Coturnix japonica: one gene and its partner. The protein of the gene in region 1 interacts with the protein of each later gene in a biochemical or structural test. Links are inferred from orthologs where the notes say so. Each region holds a gene or a part of one and is shown on either strand. Other genes may lie near its edges.

Evidence for each region.
Region 2: the proteins of UBR5 (region 1) and PCK1 form a complex in vitro, tested with the Homo sapiens proteins (2 studies listed by BioGRID, with this or other methods). The link is inferred for Coturnix japonica from reciprocal best matches to the Homo sapiens genes UBR5 and PCK1.

The regions. Positions count from the first base shown.
Region 1 is NC_029517.1:117,665,169-117,668,998, forward strand, and holds part of UBR5 (E3 ubiquitin-protein ligase UBR5), read left to right. Parts: intron 1-2; coding exon 3-115; intron 116-947; coding exon 948-1,091; intron 1,092-1,184; coding exon 1,185-1,296; intron 1,297-1,484; coding exon 1,485-1,639; intron 1,640-2,519; coding exon 2,520-2,717; intron 2,718-3,246; coding exon 3,247-3,457; intron 3,458-3,830. UniProt on the Homo sapiens protein: E3 ubiquitin-protein ligase involved in different protein quality control pathways in the cytoplasm and nucleus. Mainly acts as a ubiquitin chain elongator that extends pre-ubiquitinated substrates.
Region 2 is NC_029535.1:10,436,541-10,439,376, forward strand, and holds the end of PCK1 (phosphoenolpyruvate carboxykinase, cytosolic [GTP]), read right to left. Parts: intron 2,483-2,836; coding exon 2,387-2,482; intron 1,829-2,386; coding exon 1,374-1,828; 3' UTR 719-1,373; downstream 1-718. UniProt on the Homo sapiens protein: Cytosolic phosphoenolpyruvate carboxykinase that catalyzes the reversible decarboxylation and phosphorylation of oxaloacetate (OAA) and acts as the rate-limiting enzyme in gluconeogenesis.

The DNA of each region.
Region 1 (3,830 bases):
AGAGCGACGACGATCAACTCCTGCTCCAAAGGAGGAGGAGAAAGTGAATGAGGAGCAGTGGTCTCTGAGGGAAGTTGTGTTTGTGGAAGACGTTAAGAATGTTCCTGTTGGCAAGGTTTGTCTAAAATCTGCCAGTGATTTTTAATTACTTTACATAAGCTAATTGTCGAATTGGTACAGGAATTAAATCATCTCTGCAGTTCACTCCTAAGCTTTTCCAAACCAAGAAAAACGGGAAGGCCCACAGAAGTTATCCACACGTTTTGAGGATTTGGATTGCTTGTTAGCAGTCTTGTTAGTCTGAGTACAAATGTCTGTATGTCGTAGACCAGAATTAATGTTCAGGATTCTTGTGACTAGATCTGAGTTTTCAAAGGTTCAAAGGTAGCATTCTTGCAGCTAGCAAGTGGTGTGACTATCAGTAATACTCTTTATAGTAGAAGTCTTCTAACACCTTCATGATTATCAATAAATCCTTCTCTCTAGTGTACTTGGTAAGTTACACTTAACTAGAGAAATTGGGAAAAAGCAAGGAAATGCCTGGATTATTATTGTTTTTGATATCTTGAAAGTATGAAAATTACTTTTTATTCCAGGGGACCTCTAAGATGGTAATCTTATTACAGTTAGGTTTTTATTGCTTTGTAGGCAACTTCTTCAGTCAGTTCTTTTGGTTTCTGTTGGAGGTGGAATGCTGAAGGGAAGGGGCCTTCAACCTGCTTGTGTAATAATTAAGAAATATAGTTCTAAAGTGTTCAGAAACTTTAGCAGAACATCCAGGCTAATGACCAAGAGCTGTAGGATCACCAATGGTCGAGTTCTTTGTTTTCCTAACAAAGGTCTGGTTTACTTTGAAGAAGGTTAGGCTAAACAGTGTCTATTCAAAGCTTTTATTATATTAAAAATTAAAAAGTTTATTATAAAACTGTTATGTTTTCTGCTTGTAGGTGCTAAAAGTGGATGGTGCTTATGTTGCTGTCAAATTTCCAGGCACCTCCAGTAATGCAAATTGTCAGAGCAGTTCTAATTCAGATCCAGATCCTTCCTCTCTTCTCCAGGATTGCAGGCTGCTCAGGATAGATGAACTACAGGTGCGTATTTGAGACATACTGAAAAAATGAAGTGTTATGAAATATGAACAGTGTGTATTTTACTGCATCTTATCGTTTTGTGGATGCTTTTAGGTCGTAAAGACTGGGGGAACTCCGAAAGTTCCGGACTGTTTTCAAAGGACACCCAAGAAGCTGTGTATTCCTGAAAAAACAGAGATTCTAGCAGTAAATGTAGATTCAAAAGGTAAGTAGGACTTAACACTTAAATATACTCCATTATGTCCTTCACTGCCCTTCTCCTTAGTGGGAAACTGTTGCTGTCAGACTCAGTTAAATAGTTGTTTTCATTGACCTTAGTAAAAATGCTGTAGTTAAGAGTTCTTACTGAATACCGTCAAGGCATTAACATTTTTTTCTCATGCATCTCTGAAGGAGTTCATGCAGTCCTGAAAACTGGGAATTGGGTTCGATACTGCATATTTGACCTCGCTACTGGAAAGGCTGAACAGGAAAACAATTTCCCTACTAGCAGCATTGCATTCCTGGGTCAGAATGAGAGAAGTGTTGCTATTTTTACAGCTGGACAGGTTTGTTTTCTGCATTTCAGTCATTTAACCTCACTGTATCTCACTCCTGTTATCTTTAAGTGAAATGGTATAGTCTGTTCTGTAAGGCCTTTATAAATACTGGTGAAGAGTAGCTTTTGAATGAGTAGATTATGAAAAACTTGGTACTACCACTAATATTTTGAAGGGATATGTGGTATAGCAGTCCAACAAGCTTTAAGCACTTTTTAATTATATTATTTGAATAAAAAGTAAGAAGGGAGAAAAGCAACTTGACAGTGGCTGCTGTGTTAGCATAAACTCTCTATTCAACTAAGTTTTGGAAGTGAGATGGATAGAAATGTTAAGGAGGAAGTTCAGTAATATTCAGATTAAAGTGTTAACAAAAAATCTAACAAAAATGATACGTTAAGATTTTGTACAACTCTTAACTATCTGTTAAATATCCTATTGTATCTGGTTATGTGGCTGATTACATGAGTTGATCTTAGAAAACAATAGTGAAGTCTTTCAGTGATCAGTTTTGTTTAGGGTAGTTGAAAGAAACTCTTGGTAAGGGGACTGAATTTTTGTTGTATTTCAGCATATTCAGCTTTTTTGGGAGTATTTAAGTAATCAAAGTGTAATGTAGGTATTGTCATTAGTAATGTTTCTCTGTGAACACTTGTCATTAAATAAGTACTCTAAATAATGTTTACTGTTTTAAGCAAATCTTGGGCATTTAAAAAAGGGAATTTATCTTTTGCTGCCCTGTTTGTAAGTATAGGAGACAATGGCATAAATGAGTGTTCTGGGTCAACTGTTGACTCTGTTGGCAATAAAGCATGAAACGGACCCTCTTGTGAAGCGTAATATTTGTAAATTGTGGAGTTTAATTCTAAAATATTTTTCCCCAACATAGGAATCTCCGATTATTCTCAGAGATGGAAATGGTACAATCTACCCAATGGCAAAAGACTGTATGGGTGGGATACGAGACCCTGACTGGCTTGATCTTCCACCTATTAGTAGTCTCGGAATGGGTGTTCATTCCTTAACAAATCTTCCTGCTAACTCAACCATCAAAAAGAAAGCTGCAATTATTATTATGGCTGTTGAGGTAAAATAGTTTCTGTAATACAGAATTATATGCTATTTTTCTCTTGCTTCTATGAAATTATGCTTCAGGCAACTTTGTGTTTGGATACTAGTTTGTGTTTATACCACATAAACTAATTTCAGCAGAAAATTATCATAGAAACATGAAAGCACAAATTGATGTTGCAGAGTGGAAGATGCATTTTGGTAGTTATTGACCCCTTATTTATTTTTTCCAGTCATACCACTTTTCCCATGTTAAATTAAATGGAAGTAATTTGTCTTAAGAACATATCTGTGAAGCCAGAAGTGTGCTTTTGCAAGTCACGATAACTTCTGCTGCTTGAACCTGCCCTTGCTATTAACTCCTGTGCCCATTTTGCGTTTTTAGTAGTGCTGTAATTGAGATTATATGTGTTCTCAGACATTCCTGCTGAGAATGTCCTTTGTTTGGGCTACTTAAAAAAATGGAAGACAGGATGTACCTATGAAACTTATATGCCTGTGGTTTTTGTATTTTCATTTAACTTACTCTATTCTTTTGAGTACAGAAACAAACCTTAATGCAGCACATTCTCCGATGTGACTTTGAGGCTTGCAGACAATACCTGATGAATCTTGAACAAGCAGTTGTCTTGGATCAGAACCCACAAGTGCTGCAGACGTTCCTTGGCCACAGATGTGATGGAAATCGCAATATTCTGCATGCTTGTGTGTCTGTGTGCTTTCCAACCAGCAACAAAGAAACAAAAGAGGAAGAGGGTGAGCTCAACAGAGTCATGAAAATAGTTTGAAAGCAAAATTTTATGCATTGTCCAGATAACTTGTTTTAAAATCTGCATTCCTCAGATATGAGTAGCTTAAAATTTAGCACCTAAAATGTTTCTGAATCCGCCAAAGGTGATGAGATGACATTTTTATTACTGTCTTAAAGATTTATAGGAATTCAATACTTGGGAATACTGAACTATTTTTACTCATTCTAAAAGGCAAGCTCTTTGTATCTCTATTAATTTTAAATGACAGCAAATATTTTTCAGCTTTGTCGCTGGTATCCCTGTTATATCACCAGCGAGCTTTTAAAGGAACAATATTTAATATTTTTCAAGTGTTATATGGATGCTTTCGATGTTGC
Region 2 (2,836 bases), on another chromosome or scaffold:
CAAACTTGGAAGGGCATCTGTTGACCAGCTCTAATAATGTTTGTTTTGGGAGGAAGCAGGGTCTATAAAAGGGCTTATTACACAGTGTAAACGATTTCTTTTTGTTAAGCAAATATTTGCAATATATTTTGGGAGATAGAGCATTCGAAGTGAAAAAGCATGATACCTGCCAAGGATGTGAGAAACACATAAAGGGTACCTTAAAATGGGCTTAAACTGGGAGAACATGGGATGGTTTTAGAATCTTGATCTATGAGGAAACCAGTCTGAGGCCCTTTCAGCTCAAGCTTTAAAGCTTCCGACACCTCACTTAATCTAGGAAGCCTTTCACAAGCTCTCTTTGCTTCAGCAGTTCCACTAGTTCTTTTTGCAGAAGCCAAGCAACTGAGGAACAGAGGCAAACATCCTGATACAGGACTTTCCTACAGGGCAGTTTATTTTACAAAGGCCTGAATCAACTAATAATGCCCAGTTATGGAGAGTACGTATCTAGCTGGGTGGATGACTGCTCTCAGCTGGTGTCATAATTTCTGCATCATTCCTTTGGCTTGAATAAAGGTTGCAAGGAAAGTAATAGTTTAAACTATTTTGCTTAAGAGTAGCAGATCAATGCTATTCAACATCTAACTTGTGAACTTGTCTCTGTGCTGTGGTATTGTCAGGAGGCCCAATTTGTTGGCTCGTAGTTTTATAAACAGTGAGAATACTGGAAATTAGGTCACGTTTTGTATAAACTTTTATTTCAATAGTTTAAAGAATAAGCCATGTAAAACATCTGGAAATCACAGGAACATGAGGCATATATAATAGCAATATCTTAAATATGCATTAGTAATACAAAGTCATCTTTCACTCTGATAAAAGTTACAACTGTGTTTTTCTACAATACATTTAAGTCATGAAGTATGCTTAGATAATACATATATACAACATTTGTCATTCTTTCCTGTAAGTGATGCTGCTAAAATATGAAAAACAAAATTAATCTGAAACTCTTGTGGTTTATGTGCAGTTGTGAAGCAATGTGCTACACCTTGCAGGCTGGATTATACCTACAGAGCTGTCAGCAAGCAATTTACATACATCATGGGTATGTGCAGAATTGTGCATGCAAGTGACAGATCACAGTTTTAAGACTGTGTGCTCACAGATTCCCACAGCTGCTCAACAATACTCAACAACTGATGTAGTTATAAATCAACAGGTCTGGAGTTATTTCTAGGATGCCTTTACCTGTCGTCTAACTAAACTAAGACCTGCTTTTCATCACAACCCCTGCTCATCAGTGTGCTGCTGTGCTTTCAGTGGTGATTTGGTGAAATGTTTCTATCCTGTTACAGAACGTGTGGATTGATAATTGTATTTCTGATCAGCTACAACTGCTTTATTCTCATCTCCAAAGCAAGCATTTCTCTTTCTATTTCATAGGGAAGGTCAGCATTAACTTGCCCTTCAAAGTACTGTTTGATTTCTTCCACCTCCTTTTCCCAGAACTCTTTGGAGATATTAAACAGTTCAGTTAAGTTGATGTCTTCTAAGCCCTTCAAGTTCAAAGCAGTGTCAGCAGGGATGTAACCTATGGCAGTTGTCTTGGCAGAGGCTTTCCCTTGAATTCTGTTGAACATCCACTCCAGCACACGGGAATTCTCTCCATAGCCAGGCCACAGGAATTTCCCTTGGCTGTCTTTCCGGAACCAATTAACATGAAAGATCCTTGGTAGTTTTGCTGCCGGGCGGTGTGCCATGCTAAGCCAGTGTGCTAAGTACTTGCCAAAATTGTAGCCAAAAAAAGGTCTCATGGCAAATGGATCGTGCATAATAATTTTTCCTGTTCAAAACACAAATGGAAAACATTTAAAGCACAAAGTTTCAGTTCCTCCCAGTATTTATTACCCAGCACCCTTAGCCACCTTTCTGCATATGAACCACAGAACTTTGAGAAACAGTACAAACATTAGCCTTGAAGTACAAATTAGTTTAATCTTTGCAATCACTGGAAAGTAAATGTCTTAAATCTCAGGTCAAACAGTTTAAGGTTCTCGAGAGCTGCCCTTCGTTATTGGGTTATTTTTGCTGAGCATTAGCAGAACAGAAAATTAAAGTTTACTTAGCCCAGGCTGTAACAACTCCATATCAACTCTTCTGGCAGCACCATGATTGCACTCTGTTCTGTACGCTTGCCACCTAGGGGATTATTTTGCATAATTTGTCTTTTCAGGAAAATCTGGCTGTTAATTCCAGTATAAATATTTTCTGTTGTAAAAATGCATAGGTTGCAAAATCAGCTGCCAAGATTTAAGTGTGAAAGAGCAGAGGGGGAGGACAGAGCAGGCTCTGCAGAGAAAGTAGCTTGTAACACAGATAGGCAGACTAGATTTTGATTTACCTTTGTGCTCAGCAGCTGCTGTTGCTTCAGATCTCATAGCTGCTCCTATAAATACTCCATGCTGCCAGTTAAAGGCCTCGTATACAAGAGGCACACCTGTAAAGAACAAAGTCACTTCAGTAATTAACGATTCAGAAGCATTTTTATGACAGGTTTTGCTAACTGAGATATTGCTGTATCCCAGTTACTGTGTAATTTATTCTAATTTTTCTTGTTGATTTTTAACTTGGTTAATTTCCTGCCTTCTTAGAGCAATTCATATGAATGTTTTCAAAACTGGCTAATCATTATTGAACACATCAGCTGGGAGATATCTGAATTCCCAACAGATTTCATTGGAAGCAGATTCTGGTCCCATGGTCATGTTTGTGGTATTAGATTCAGGCCTAGCATTACTTCTGATTTTTTCAGCTCTAGGTGGTCTTTAACAGAACAATTCATTTAACTTCT